Linked DNA regions of Nothobranchius furzeri. The protein of the gene in region 1 binds, or shares a complex with, the protein of each later gene. Links are inferred from orthologs where the notes say so. Each region holds a gene or a part of one and is shown on either strand. Other genes may lie near its edges.

Region 1 (7,867 bases):
GAAAAAAAATAACAGTCAACCTCTAGATCTGAAGATACTGTAGTTTTTTCTGTTTGTGGAGTAGTAGTTGGGATCTGCTGTCCTCACAGCACATGGCTACGCTACAGCAAACAAACAAAAACTAAAATCTTCACACAAAGTTTGCTTTTCTCTTCTGAACATCTTTATAAATGTTTTATCACCATAGCTTCAATATAATAACATAATAAGTAAGAGCACATTATTACTAACTAATGCACACTTCTTGGCGTCACACTTAGGGAGAATGAGATTCAGATGCAATATGTCACTTTTCCTATGAATAACTTAAATTGAAGTAGTTGTCATTTTGCACAGAAAATATTTAAAGTTTAATCATTGGAGATATGTGATGATGGCAACCTAAAATGTTTTATTTTTATTTATTTTTTTATGACAGAGGGACACAGCAAATATTGGTATCAGTGTCTGAAATTATGAGTTAGACCAGGGATTCCCAAAGTGTGGTGCGCGCACCCCCGGGGGTGCGCGAGCTGCCACTAGGGGGTGCGCAAGGTGAAAAGTGTAATGGCTGCGGAGCTCAGAGAAGTCTGTCAGATGTCACCTTTAACGTAGCCAGAAACTCATTTGTGGGTGGGCCAAAGAAATAGTAAGAGGGCACAATAAATTTAATTGAAAACAAGTATATTTTTGCGTGTGTGTCCTCCACATGTGCCCTAACTTCATAATAACAATGCGCCGAGCTTCAGCACTCTGGCCTGCGCACGCCGATATGTTCCGTATTTGATCATTTTTAACGGTGTTGGAGAAATCTGAAGGTGGCGAGTCATTCTGGCAGATTGTAATTAACACCCTGTCTCATGCAGGTGTTCTGACATTGTAAACCTCACACACAGAACATTGTGGATGTAACTAAATAAATCAAGAAATTATTCCCATCCAGGCTACTAAAAGCGCGCTGAAGATCTGAAGTTCAGAGTGTGTCTGTCAGATCAGATGCGTTCCAGCGGCTCTCGGGTGCACAAGTGAGCACATCTGGGCTGGGCAGAAGTTTAAATAGCACCAATAACGAGACGCAGTGACTTAAACTCTGCAAGTTGTGAAGCGCGTTCCATCCGCCAGCCGCATCACCAAGCGGAAAGTGAATGCGTCAAGCATAAACCAAGCTTCATGGAGCTGTGCCCTGCGCACGCACACACACACACACACACACACACACACACACACACACACACACACACACACACACACACACACAGAGATTCAATAAGCACGCACGCCGCGCAAACTCCGGCGCGCCGTCAGACTGAAGACAGAAATGAGCGCTGCCTCCTCTGTGATAAAAACTTTTAAGAGGTTTTATAACATTTTTCATTCAAGGTCAAATTAAGATATTAGCTTCTATTTTGGGATGACGTATTAAAGTCGGGTCCGCTCCAGCCAGTGACTCCGAACCTGAACTCATGCAGCATTTGTTATTCTGGTCCACGTGGCAGCGGATCGCAGATTCAGCCACACCATAAAACAGCAATAAGTCGGTCTGAGGTAAAAGTGAACATCATGGCTATATCTTGTCCCCTATTGACATTTGATTACGCACAAGTAGGTGACCAGCTCAGGTTTACGCAGAGCAGAAGGAAGGAGAGCGCTCTGGCCGCACAGGTTAAACGTTCCTACTTTAAGAAAACTGTTAAATTGCATTGTTTATGTGCTACCTGGGCACTCTAAATATTTATTTAAAATTAAATCAAAGGAAATTGTAATGGTATCGAATGCTTTTTAATTACTATTTAAAAACGAAAGTGATGGGGAAAAAGGTCGATCATATTTTTTTAACCCTGTCTGTTTAGCTTGACCTCTGATATATATATATATATATATATATATATATATATATATATATATATAGCCATGCCCTGATGTGGGGGCTGGGGGGGTGCGTCGACATGGTTGGGACATAGAAGGGGGTGCGCGGCTAAATAAGTTTGGGAACCGCTGAGTTAGACAATATCGGTTTTAAAGCCAATATCACGCATCCCTAATTGTGAGATAACTTATTGTTTATAGTGGGTTTCCAATGCCACCTGGCGAGCAAGAATAACAATGCAATGTGGATAAGCAGTTTATATAGTTAACCTGGTTGTACAAGTGGCGACCTAAAAAATGGTCACAAATATAAGTAGTTGCTCCTCTTTGTCTCAACCCTCCCACTGTCTTTATGGATGACCCCGCGAGGAAAGTTGACCATTGAGCAGGATTGATGGTTTATTCCTTGAGGTCCACGTGGCAGGAGTGAGGAGTGAGCACCACCTCACCCCTGCCACGTGGACCTCAAGGGATCAACCATCAATCCTGCTCAATGGTCAACTTTCCTCACGGGGCCACACCCATTAGGACAGTGGGAGGGTTAAAGCTGCAATGGCAAATTTGGAAAACAAAGGAGCTTAAAACATTTTAACAATGTTCTAATGTACTTTAGCTATAAATATACTTTGGAGATTAAAAAGAAAGAAAGAAACAAATTAAATTGGTCTCGCCAAACCGCCACACTTCCTTGGGCTCTCCATTCATTACACACTCACCTATTTAGCACTAGAACTCCACTGGTGTGAGAGGTTCTCCACTCAATAATATCAGAGAAGGAGAAACAGCCGGTTGTTAGGACAAACTACTAGAGTCCTAAAAAGAAAAACACCATTTGAAGTCACGGACAACAAAAGATGTTTGGACCTAGAAAACAGCGACTGGTGTTTAGTGCTATCTAGTTTGCTCCGGCATCGCGGGATTCCGGTTCCAGTAGAAACGTCTCAGGGAAGATACCCAAGGGGAGGGATTAGTGATTGATGACCGTGCAGATTAGCTATGAAGTATCTAGTTGGAGTTAAGCAGCTTTTATGAAAAAAGCTTTTATTGGACATGTTATTGTCATGTGTCTATGCCTATGTAAGTATGTCTGATCTCAGAATTGTGTGTACTGAAACTCTAATTTCCCTCTGGGATTAATAAAGTATCTTTTGAATTTGAATTGAATTTGAAGGCAGTTTGTGACGAGATGTGAGCAAAGTGCCCCTAGAAGTGCGGTTTAATTAGTAAATAATGTTATCTCTCACACATAAGACTCTTTAAACCAGTTTTCTTTTAATCAGTACTCCAATCATTTCAGGATATGTTAATAAGGACGTCTTCACTGGTCCCTGTTGATGTGTTCAGGTTTCCAGTGGTTGCCATGGGAGTTTTAAAGTGGGTGGACTGGACTGTATCAGAGCCACGCTACTTCCAGCTCCAAACGGACCATACTCCCGTTCATTTAGCTTTACTAGATGAGGTACGACAAGATTAGCGGGTGCATGCTATAGTTTCCTTCAATTTAAAGGTGGTGTGAAAATACCAAACATGATATTTCTTCTGCACAGATCTGCACGTGTCACCAGCTGCTACACTCGCAGGTCCTCCAGCTGCTCATCAAGCTCTTTGAGACGGAGCACTCTCAGCTGGACGTCATGGAGCAGGTGGGTTTCTGAGGCACCGTCACGCACAACGTTTCACCTGTCTGATAAAGTCTGAGTGATGCTTTGTTTCTACTGTAGCTGGAGCTGAAGAAGACGCTACTGGACAGAATGGTTCATCTCCTGAGTCGTGGTTACGTCCTTCCTGTCGTCAGTTACATTCGTAAATGTCTGGAGAAACTCAACACGGATATTTCCCTCATTAGATATTTTGTCACTGAGGTAAACGGCCAAGAACATACGCAGGTTGAATAAAATGTTAGTCTGCAGCCAGTCCCAGTGGATAAACACCAACCACACGTCTGTTAGATCACAACGCTAAGCTAGGTACTTAAGTTTGTTCTTTTTTTTCAACTGTGCTTTGCTTTAAACAAAGTTTATCTTTTTAAGGTGTTAGACGTGATCGCACCTCCTTACACTTCCGATTTTGTTCAACTCTTCTTGCCGATCTTGGAGAATGAAAGTATCGCAGGAACAATTCGCACCGAGGGAGAACACGACCCTGTGGCCGAGTTCATTGGTGAGTAAAAACATTTTAATAAACTTATTTACCCAGTCTAGGCTTTTCCTGGCTTTCCACCACATGTGTAATTGTCACATAACACGTGCGAAGCTTAATCTGCAGCTAATAACAGTCAACGCGTGCGTTTCCACTGGGTGTGCAGCGGCGCATCCCAGAAATTGCTAAATTTACTCCCCAGGTGCCTCATGTATCAACCGTACATAGGCACAGATCAACAGCATTTAAAATCTCTACAACTTGTTTGGTTCTTTTGCACTTCAGCAGACAAGTTTTTTTTTTTTCTCGGGTAGAACGCAGGGAATCCCCTCATGTGCTGAGGATGTAGCGTGACCAAACCTGGTTAATTAAATGTAAATGACTGAGAACAGACACGAGCACCTGGGTACGCACAGGTGGGACTTATCAGACGATTGTGGAGAAACATGCATACGAGAGGCCACGGCATGTTTCATAGATCAGGATTTTAACTGTTCGTACGCACATTCTAAATTTCACTCGTAGGAATTTAGGAGTTTCTATGAACGTTTGAATGAGGATCCAGGTCTGTTTTTATACACTTACCCTTTCAAAACATGTCAAGCTCTGCAGTAAAGATCTGACTAGAGAGGAAACCAAACACTGGTGAAATTTCAAAATAAAAGACTTTTACTTAACTAGTAGTGATGCGCCGGTATGAAATTTTTGGGCCGATATCCAATATTAAGATCACTGTTATGGCCGATAACCGATATTTGCCGAGATCGATTTACTGACATTAATGCTTCTAAAATCAGCAGATTTTGTATAGAATGAAAATTATTACAGTTTTTCTCTATTGGTTTGGCTCATTTCATGAAACAGAAATTACATTCTTAAAATAGCATGGACAAACCTCCAAACTTCATTTTATCAAATGGCAAATGCCTTAGTACATGTCTCAATTGTCTCAGTGCATCTTTGCAAATGATTAAGTACCTGTATCCTACAGTTAGCCCACATTTAGCACATTTTCCTAAATGAATAGATCTTGTAGATCTAAACTGATTAGTTGATTCTCAGTCCAATGATCATTCTCTCCAAAACATGTCAGCATGCACAACTGTAATGAAATAGATTAGTTATTTAATGAGCCGTAAGGCGTGGGATTCCATAGGAAATATGAAATCCACCTTACGGATCGATGGGTTATTTAAAGCAGAAGATTGGATCTTTTTATTGCAGGGATTAGATAACCGCTACGTAAGAGACAACAGAAGAGAGAGAGTCAAGTTTAAAAGTTAAGAATTTTATTACTAACTAATTAAACTAGACTGACTTTAAAACTAAATGTATGGTGTAACTAAAGTGGATGAGACGGTGGATGGATGACGTGTGATGTCAAATCAGAACCAACAAATCCGAAGAAGCGATTGTTCTGACGAGAAATGAAGGTGATGTTTTCGCATTAAGCTTTGGTTTGGAAGTTCAGAAACACATGAGACACCATCATGCCGGTCTACCTACCTTTCGTGGAAGTCCTCTGTAGATCAGGAATATCGAGGTCCAGTGGACCCTCTCTGGAACCGAGCCGGTAGGAAAAGCCGCGGTTCCGATCAGACCCTTCTTTGAGTTACTTCCGGGTACACGACAGGTTATTGGCGTCTGGTGAGACCCCCGGTCTGGATGGTTCAGCTTTTATTCTGAAAGGAACTGTTGTCGCTGTTGGAATAGCAACACATTTTTCAGCTTGTCGTTGTTCTTTCAGATGAAGAGTATAGATCAGGATTGGCCACTCGTCACTTTCTCTGGAACGCTTTGAACTGGCGTTAGAGCTGACGTTGCATAGTTTTATACTTCGGATGTTATGGTTTATTGTCGAATGAAAAATTACCAAACACCATCAGAACCACGCCTCCATCAGATCTGTAAGATTCTGATCGGATCAGTGAAAGGAATGTGTTATGTCTTTTAACGCTGCGTGAAATCAGTCCTGTTGGAACACTTAAAGTCACAGTACCTTTATGTTCTATAGGATTATAATAAAGTAATTAATATTTTGATTTCACAGATCGGTCACGTCTTATTTATTGACTAACACTTTGATGGATTAGCTTTAATAAAATAGAGTTCTTTGATTAATTAAAAGAAAAGAGTTCATTCTTCGTTCTTCTGTTGAGCTGAAAATAAGCAGGTTAGAAGGAATGCATGAGACCTTGAGACCAAATGTCATGCAGACTAGTCTTGAGCAAAGAAGGGAAAAACACTGTCATTCCATTCCATTACAACGACTGTCTGTTCAATTGTCATAATTGGTCAAGAACATGATACCATGAATACTATATATGGATTTCTTTGAATATTTGATACATTGATGACAGTCATTGACAGTCAGGTGATACTAGACCAGTGGTTCCCAAACTTATTTAGCCGCGCACCCCCTTCTATGTGTCGACCATGTCGACGCACCCCCCCCCCCCCCACACACACACACACATCACGGCATGGCTATATATATATATATATATATATATATAATCAGACGTCAAGCTAAACAGACAGGGTTAAAAAATATGATCGACCTTTTTCCCCATCACTTTCATTTTTTAAATAGTAATTAATAAACATTCGATACCATTACAATTTCCTTTGATTTAATTTTAAATAAATATTTAGAGAGCCCAGGTAGCACATAAACAATGCAATTTAACGGTTTTCTTAAAGTAGGAACGTTTAACCTGTGCGGCCAGAGCGATCTCCTTCCTTCTGCTCTGCGTAAACTGGCCATACTTGTGCGTACTCAAATGTCTATAGGGGAAAAGGAAAAAGCTTTAGCCATGAGGTTCACTTTTGCCTCAGACCGACTTATTGCTGTTTTATGGTGTGGCTGAATCTGCGATCCGCTGCCACGCGGACAGGAATAACATGCTGCAGGTTCGGAGTCACTGGCTGGAGCGGACCCGACTTTAATACGTCATCCCAAAATAGAAGCTAATATCTTAATTTGACCTGGAATGAAAAATGTTATAAAACCTCTTAAAAGTTTTTATCACAGAGGAGGCAGAGCTCATTTCTGCCTTCAGTCTGACGGTATCAGTCTGGCGCGCCGCAGTTTGCGCAGCGTGCACTTATTGAATGTGTGTGTGTGTGTGCGCGCGCGCGGCACAGCTCCACGAAGCTTGGTTTAAGCTTGACGCATTCACTTTCCGCTTGGTGATGCGGCTCGCGGATGGAACGCGCTTCACAACTTGCAGAGTTTAAGTCACTGTGTCTCGTTAATGGCGCTATTTAAACCAATGCTGTAAAATTACTTCTGCCCAGCCCAGATGTGCTCACTTGTGCACACGTGAGCCGTGGTTCCGCTGGACCGCGTCTGACCTCTGACAGACGCACTCTAAACTTCAGATCTTCAGCGCGTGTGAGGTTTACAATGTCAGAACACCTGCATGAGACAGGTGTTAATTACAATCTGCCAGAATGACTCACCACCTTCAGATTTCTCCAACACCGTTAAAAATGATCAAATACGGAACATATCGGCGTGCGCAGGCCAGAGTGCTGAAGCTCGGCGCATTGTTATTATGAAGTTAGGGCACATGTGGAGGACACACACACACACACACACACCACACACACACACACACACACACACACACACACACACACACACACACACACACACACACACACACACACACACACACGTAAAATATACTTGTTTTCAATTACATTTATTGTGCCCACTTACTTTTTCTTTGGCCCACCCACAAATGAGTTTTCTGGCAACGCTAATGGTGACACCTGACAGATTTCTCTGAGCTCCGCAGCCATTACACTTTTCACCTCGCGTACCCCCTAGTGGCAGCTCGCGCACCCCCGGGGGTGCGCGCACCACACTTTGGGA
Region 2 (8,107 bases), on another chromosome or scaffold:
AAACGTGAAACTTGTACATTATATTCATGCAATGCACACAGACCAATGTATTTCCAATGTTCATTACATTTAAATTTGATATTCATAAGTGACAACTAATGAAAACTCCAAATTTGGTATCTCAAAAAATTAGAATATTCTGAAAAGGCTGAATATAGAAGACACCTGCTGCCACTCTAATCAGCTGATTTACTCAAAACACCTGCAAAGGCCTTTAAAAGGTCCCTCACTCTTGTTTTGAAGGCACCACAATCATGGGGAAGACTTCTGACTTAACAGCTGTCCAAAAGACAATCATTGACACCTTGCACAAGGAGGGCAAGACACAAAAGGTGATTGCTAAAGAAGCTGGCTGTTCGCAGAGCTCTGTGTCCAAGCACATTAACAGACAGGCGAAGGGACGGAAAAAATGTGGTAGAAAAAAGTGTACAAGCTCTAGGGATAACCGCACCCTGCAGAGAATTGTGACGACAAACCCATTCAAAAATGTGGGGGAGATCCACAAAGAGTGGACTGCAGCTGGAGTCAGCGCTTCAAGAACCACCACGAGGAGACTCATGAAAGACATGGGATTCAGGTGTCGCATTCCGTGTGTCAAGCCACTCTTGAACATGAAACAGCGCAAGAAGCGTCTCGCCTGGGCCAAGGACAAAAAGGACTGGACTGATGCTGAGTGGTCCAAAGTTATGTTTTCTGATGAAAGCAAGTTCTGCATTTCCTTTGGAAATCAAGGACCCAGAGTCTGGAGGAAGAGCGGAGAAGCACAGAATCCACGTTGCATGAGGTCCAGTGTAAAGTTTCCACCGTCAGTGATGGTGTGGGGTGCCATGTCATCTGCCGGTGTTGGCCCACTCTGTTTCCTGAGGTCCAGGGTCAATGCAGCCGTCTACCAGGAAGTTTTAGAGCACTTCATGCTTCCTGCTGCTGACCAACTTTATGGGGATGCAGACTTCACCTTTCAACAGGACTTGGCACCTGCACACAGTGCCAAAACCACCAGCACCTGGTTCAAGGACCATGGTATCCCTGTCCTTGATTGGCCAGCAAACTCGCCTGACCTTAACCCCATAGAAAATCTATGGGGTATTGTGAAGCGGAGGATGCAATACGCTAGACCCAACAATGCAGAGGAGCTGAAGACGACTATCAGAGAAACCTGGGCTCTCATAACACCTGAGCAGTGCCACAGACTGATCGAGTACATGCCACGCCGCATTACTGCAGTTATTGAGGCAAATGGAGCCCCGACTAAGTATTGAGTGCTATACATGCACATTCTTTTCATGTTCATTCTTTTCAGTTGGCCAACATTAGAGAAACAAACATTTTTTCATTGGCCTTTAGAATATTCTAATTTTCTGAGATACCAGATTTGATGTTTTCATTGGTTGTCACCTATAAATATCAAAATTAAACGTAATAAACATCGGAAATACATTGGTCTGTGTGCATTGCATGAATATAATGTACAAGTTTCACGTTTTGAATGGAATTACTGAAATATTTTCAACCTTTTGATGATATTCTAATTTACTGGCCAGCACCTGTAGACTGATGCAGAGATGGTGATGTTTCTTATGGACATAACAGAAAGTAGTACGCAGCAATTAGCCATCGTTATCGTGGATGGGTGTGTTTCCAGCAGGCACAAGGCATCGCATTTTGGACACGCCCCAGAATCGTAGCTTTGCGCGGCTCTACTAAACTTACGCTTTGAATTAGTGGTTGTGTCAACTAGTAGTCAACTAGTCGACCTCACTGCTCTGTAGTGACTTGTTATGCCTGTCATAGACTAGTCGCTGCCACGTGTTAATGACCGACAAGATGCAGTCCTTGGAAAAGACAGCAGGTGATGAGCCCCTGCGCGTCCGATACGACGCGCTGTGCCAGAGGGTCGGTATCTTACGCCCACCGTAAAACGGACATTTAACCAGATTGTGACCTTTACGCAATTTAACCTTCCCCTCACCCCCATCCTAACCTTAACCAGCTTGCGCATGCAAAGCTCTGATTGTTGATGCGCTCCAGACATCTGCGTCCTGAGCACGGCCACAGTAACATTATCAAATCAGGTGTCGCCACCTCAAAAACTAATTTAACACGCGATCGTTCATGTCGGCTCATTTCCTTTGATGTTTTCTGTCTTTTATTTGTGTCTGATGCGTTTCGCTACTGTGGAGCAGTCGACTTGATTTTCATTACTTGATGGTTGACTTAAAAAAAAAATTAAGTCATGCAGCCCCTACTTTGAATAAATTTTTGCACGTTAAGCTTCCAGAATCCACTCTGCCGTGGTGAGTGTGTCCAGTTTGGTGGCAGGAGAATCTTGTCTCTGCTTTTTGCGGATGAAGTGGTCCTCCTAGCTTCATCCAGCTCTGACCTTCAGCTCTTGCTGGGTAGGTTCACGGTTGAGTGTGAAGCGGCTGGGATGAGGATCAGCACCTCCAAATCTGAGACCATGGTTCTCGACCGGGAAAGGGTGGGTTGCCAACTCCGGGTCGAGAGAGAGGTCCTACCTCAAGTGGAGGAGTTTGAGTATCTCGGGGTCTTGTTCACGAGTGAGGGTAGGAGGGATCGGGAGATCGACAGGCGGATTGGTTCGGCGTCTGCAGTGATGCGGACGCTGAGCCGATCTGTCGTGGTGAAGAGGGAGCTGAGCCAGAAAGCCAGGCTCTCGATTTACCGGTCGATCTACGTCCCAATCCTCACCTATGGTCATGAGCTTTGGGTAATGACCGAAAGAACGAGATCGCGGATACAAGCGGCCGAAATGAGTTTCCTCCGTAGGGTGGCCGGGCTCAGCCTTAGAGATAGGGTGAGGAGCTCGGACATTCGGGAGGGACTCGGAGTAGAACCGCTGCTCCTCCGGATTGAAAGGAGCCAGTTGAGGTGGATTGGGCATCTGGTCAGGATGCCTCCTGGACGCCTCCCCGGGGAGGTGTTTCGGGCATGTCCTGCCGGCAGGAGGCCCCCGGGTCGACCCAGGACACGTTGGAGGGGTTACATCTCCAATCTGGTCCGGGAACGACGATGAAGCTTCCAGAATGTGTCAAGCTAAGTAGTTCAGATAGGACCAGACAGGAAGCCAAACACGAAAGCCGCGTAAAACATCCGGACACTTTCAAAATAAGTCACATGCAGATTTCTAGTTGCTTAACCAATAAAAGATGTGTGCCAACTGTGACCCCTCCGTAGCCGAGGTGAACGGAACAAAAAACGAACCAGACCTTTGGCTACATGCAGCCATCTTTCTGTTTGCTTATCACGTGATTTGTTGAAATCACGTGTGAGCTTGCAGTTCTCTGGTTGTTGCGATCTTCTGCGAGGAACGATTTTGATACCGTTTTGTGTGTAAAACGTGTATTAAATTACGCGCCGTTTACACATCCAGTGGAAAGCTGGGGTAAGTCTTTATATAAAATTATAATTCAGGAAATCAGAATCGGTGGGAAAAATCGGATTCAACCATTTAAAACAAAAAAATGTTACTTTGAAAATCTCTTTCTCGGGATGAATTTAAAATGGAAAAAACAATGGCTCAGTTTTCAAATCGACAAGCTTCTATATCAGTATTCTTTGTTTCACAGACAACAGCAGAAGTTGCACAATTTAAGGTAGATGGGGAATTTGTACACAATACCATGTAGCAGTTGGCTAACACAGACCATAGTTTTCATCTCGAGAGATAAAATGTCTGTAATTGCGGTTATGCTTTCAAATGAACAGCAAAGGGAGTGTAATGTGGCATTTAACCTGGTGGAAAAGGTACTGCTGCGCCACCTTAAAAAAAGACTGACCCTGCTCATATCAATTCAGCTAACCCAGCCAACACTAAAAGATGCACGTGTGTACAGACAGCAAAAATGCCAGGATAGCAGTGTTATCACACGGGATGAGCATCTGTGGTTGCAGATGTCTGGTTCTGCAGCCTCCTGCAGCTGTAATCACGGAAGTAGGGAGAGGGGCTTAAGGTGCAATTACATTATTTCTGCTTCTTGGTGGTGCCTTCTGAGAAAACAGCTTTTTCACTCAGTGTTACACGTGTCTGTAGCGGGAAATCAAGTGAACCTCCTTGTGTTTCCTGCAGAGAACCCATGCCCAGAGCAGGGCGACATCATCCAGATCAAGCTGAGCGAGCACACAGAGGTTCTGCCCAAGGCGGACGGCACCGGCAGCACCACCATGCTGGTGGACACAGTCTTCGAAATGAACTATTCAACAGGACAGTGGACTCGTCTGAAGAAATACAAACCTATCACAAACTCCTCCTGAGGAGCTTCGCCGGCTCAGTCCACCACCCAGAACATGTTTAGGCACACGTACGAGTATTCGCTGACATTTGGGCCAAATCCACTTCTGAGAGGCTGTCGAGGAGAGAAAGATTCTCCCTTTTACTACGCCACCAAAATGGAGAACTTATTTTTGTTTGTTTTTACTTGCCCTTTAATTGATTTTTTTTTTCCAATCATCTCATGAGTGAGCCGGCTCCAGGGGGTTGAGGGAGCAGAGAGAGTGTTTGTGCTGCTGAGGTAGCAAAGAGCAGCTGCGTGCATTTTTATGTCAAATGTTTTCAACCCAACAGCAGTGATGATATTCATCATTAGAGGCGACCAAAATGAAATAAAAGATCACTACATGGTCAGTGAGTCCACTTTTTATTAACTAAAATGAGTTTCAACATCAAACCGGTTATAAAACATTCATGATCATTTTTATCCTCGCTTTCAGCCACAGCTGTCCTGTTTTTGGCTCGGTGGATGTCTTAATTTAATCTTTTTAAGCGTTCTGGTCAGTTATTGTAAGTAAATGTGTGCTGCTCACATTTGATATCTAAATGATTCGACTGTAATCTGAGCAGAATATATATATTTTTGATGGTTAAATGAATAAAAAACCCAGGTGGAAACAAATGCTCAGCCTGAGCTGTAATCTGAGTGCAAAAATTCACAAATCTTGTGCTAAAGTGACACTTTCCACTTTTCCTTATCTGATGAAATATGAAATGAAAGATTCCTATTGGCGCAAAAATTTGCTCCACTTGAACATTCATTGCTCTGACAGGAATGCAGATCCTCTGTGATTGATATTATTTTGCTCCAGGGTCCCTCCATCCTCCAAACGTCTTCTCCAAGTAGCAAGCCACAGCGAGGGTCAGATGGTCCTGCAGCTTTCCAGAGACGACCTGCACCCCCAGAGGCAGGCCCTCCTCACCCAGACCCAGAGGACACTGGGTCACCGGTAGCCCCAGGATGTTCATGATACCTGATGGATGAGAGAACCAAGTTCGTGATCACTTTAATCTGCATCTTTTGCTAAATCTGGGTCACTAACCGGTGTAGGCGAAGTCAAAAGGTCTGAAGAGCGGGTTGTGGTGTTTGGGTGCCACTCTGGGGTGTGAGGGGTAAAGTAAAACACCGTCATGTGCGAGCAGCTTGTCGAGCTCCTCCTGCAGCTTTTCTTTTTGCTGGATGGCCAAGGATGTTGATTTAGACAAGCGCGTCTTTTCCATGAGGCCCACGGCTGAAGAGAAAACAAGTCAGTTCTCAGGTTAGCTACTGACAGCCACAGCTTGACATACATCTAAAAACTGAAGCACTAACAAATGTCAGACAATTGTTTTTCTTACTGATGGCGGCCATCGTATGGTCCGATTTTCCCATCATCCATTTCAGCAGCTCCCAGAACGGCCACTTTGGTCGACCAGGTTCCCCCATCAGCTCAGTGAAGGCCACAGGAGGCTGAAGGAGGAGACAAACATTTAGCATCCATTTATGAGTCCAAGCTTGTGGAAATCGTGATCATTTCTTCAATGTTCCAACACTTGTTTCACACCAAGAAGTCATTGCAAGGATGTGAAAATAATTTAAGGGATTAACCTACGGGCTTCAGAGTAAACAAGAGAGGGTGTCAAACTGAAGATAAAACCACACAGAGAGGCCTCGACTCTAGTTGGACAAATAAAGCAAATTGTTTAAATTAGAGGAACTTCTGTTGACAAGAAATGACGTGTTTTCAGAAGTGCTGGGCTTGCACGGGTTTGGTATGTGTGTGTGTGTGTGTGTTTTATTTGTGTGGTATAGAGGCTGGCAGCTAAGGAGATTAGGGGGATTTCTGGGCAGCAGACTACAATAAGGGCTGTGACTAAGAGACCTGCTTCCTGTTAGCCTTATTAACCGGAGAGGCAGTTAACCACCAACAAGCTGACCAACACACTCGCCAATTAATTTTTCAGTAAAGTCCATGATATCATCTCAGATTCTGGTTCTCTAATGGCAAGCTCTCAGAGCCTCTCCAGTCATGTTTCCTGAAGCAGCACTGGACAGAGACTGCTCTGGTAAAGGTCTACAATCATCTGATGGCTGCAGAAGCAGGAAGGCTCTATCGTGGTTCTGCTGGACCTCAATGAGACTTTGGACACAGTGGATCACAACATCCTATTGAACAGGCTACATTTTCTGGTTTCCATCTCTGGTTCTACATTAGACAGGCTCTCTGATTATCTTTCAAACTGAGGTTTCTCAGTGAAGGCTGAAACCATTTCCTCAGGGACTGTGGGGTCCCACAAGGCTCTGTTCTAGGACCTCCATTATTTTATTTCTATATTACCATGAAAATTAAACTAAATGATTTATACAGCATAAGCCATTTTTTCAAGACACACCATGCTGTAAAATTAGTGTAACATTACTACTACGGTGTGTCTTATAAACTCGCCATGCCGACATGGCGTTGCGTGAATTTTGCAGCATTCGTTATGTCTCGCTTGATGGTATTGCAGTAGACGTCTACGGTGATTGCGCCATGGCGCAACAGAGGGAGATGTTATGATTACGTGGGGATCACCGCCGTGAAATGCGGGGCACATGAGGGCTCCAAGGAAAGAGGCCACAGTGGGAAACACACTTGTGCAGGCAAGGGTACCGCCGTGACATGCAAGGCACAAGAGGTCCCCACAATGAAGGGCCACATATGCAGGCCAAAGCCTGTTGGGCCCCTACATGGCCCCAAATGATGGGGCCCGCATGTGCCCTACATTTCACGACAGCTGTGGGTCCTACTGTGGACAATCCTTTGTGGGCCTTGTTTTTGCCCAGAAAGATGCCACACGGGGGCCCTAACAGGCACGTTTGCTGGGCTTTAACTACCGTCATTCGTTATTTCTCAGACATCACTTCTAAGTTCATAATATTCAGCTGTACATGTGCTTCAGTATGGCCACCTCTGTCCTCTGATGTAGATCAGTAACTGATAGTCCAGCCACTTTCTTGTTCTGAATGCCAACAAGCCAAGCTTAGCCCACGAAACCTAGGAGTTATCTTTGATTTCAAGTTAAGATTCAATTCACGAGGTCCTGCCCCAAGTAGAGGAGTTTAAGTATCTCAGGGTCTTTGTTCACGAGTGAGGGAAAACTGGAGCGTGAGATCGATAGGTGGATTGGTGCTGCATCTGCAGTACTGTGGGTGTTGTTCAATCTGTCGTGTTGAAGAGAGAACTGATCGCCTGAAGGCAAAGCTTTCGATTTACCGGTCGATCTACATTCCTACCCTCACCTATGGTCACGAGCTTTGGGTAGTGACCGAAAGAATGAGAATGAGTACAAGCAGCCAAAATGAGTTTTCTCCTCAGGGTGGCTGGGCTCTCCCTTAGAGATAGGGAGTGAGAAACTCAGTCATCCGGGAGGGGCTCGGAGTAGACCTGTTGCTTCCCCATATCGAGAGGAGTCAGTTGAGGTGGCTCGAACATCTGGTAAGGCTGCCTCCTGGACGCCTCCCTGGTGAGGTGTTCCGGACACGTCCAACCAGGAGAAGGCCAAAAGGAAGACCCAGGACACGCTGGAAAGAATACGTCTCACGGCTGGTCAGGGAACGCCTTAGGATTCCCCCAGAGGAGCTGGTCCAAGTGGCTGGGGAGAGGGTAGTCTGGGCCTCCCTGCTTAGAGTACTGCCCCCACAACCCGAACCCAGATAAGCGGCCAAAAATGGATTGATGGATGGATTTATACTCATCAAGTCCATCTCCTGTTCCTGTTTCTTTCACGAGAAACATCTGAAAACACCGTAAAATGGTTTCTACTGCAGATCTGGAAACAATAACCCATGCCTTTGTG

The links. Proteins that work in one complex are often made in the same cells at the same time.
Region 2: the proteins of nelfcd (region 1) and nelfa are in contact, whole or in part, in a crystal structure (PDB 5L3X), measured with the Homo sapiens proteins. The link is inferred for Nothobranchius furzeri from reciprocal best matches to the Homo sapiens genes NELFCD and NELFA. Residues at the interface, in XP_047296144.1 of Homo sapiens: Cys204, Gln205, Gln206, Leu207, Glu208, Phe210, Ser211, Leu214, Arg215, Leu218, Ala219, Ile221, Leu222, Asp223, Gly225, Glu226, Cys241, His242, Gly243, Glu244, His245, Thr246, Tyr247, Leu248, Phe249, Ala252, Met253, Ser255, Val256, Leu257; in NP_005654.4 of Homo sapiens: Leu23, Trp24, Ala25, Leu54, Leu58, Leu61, His62, Arg65, Pro88, Trp89, Met92, Val93, Ile96, Leu97, Phe100, Gly104, Ser105, Leu106, Leu108, Leu110, Asn116, Val117, Asp119, Ile120, Leu121, Glu123, Leu124, Arg125, Lys127, Val128.

What each region holds. Positions count from the first base shown.
Region 1 is NC_091743.1:48,862,665-48,870,531, reverse strand, and holds part of nelfcd (negative elongation factor C/D), read left to right. Parts: intron 1-3,189; coding exon 3,190-3,304; intron 3,305-3,392; coding exon 3,393-3,488; intron 3,489-3,566; coding exon 3,567-3,707; intron 3,708-3,875; coding exon 3,876-4,005; intron 4,006-7,867. UniProt on the Homo sapiens protein: Essential component of the NELF complex, a complex that negatively regulates the elongation of transcription by RNA polymerase II.
Region 2 is NC_091742.1:60,234,333-60,242,439, reverse strand, and holds the end of nelfa (negative elongation factor A), read left to right. Parts: intron 1-4,087; coding exon 4,088-4,272; 3' UTR 4,273-4,642; downstream 4,643-8,107. Other genes in the region: faah2b (fatty-acid amide hydrolase 2-B), read right to left, coding at 5,087-5,262, 5,332-5,520, 5,627-5,738. UniProt on the Homo sapiens protein: Essential component of the NELF complex, a complex that negatively regulates the elongation of transcription by RNA polymerase II.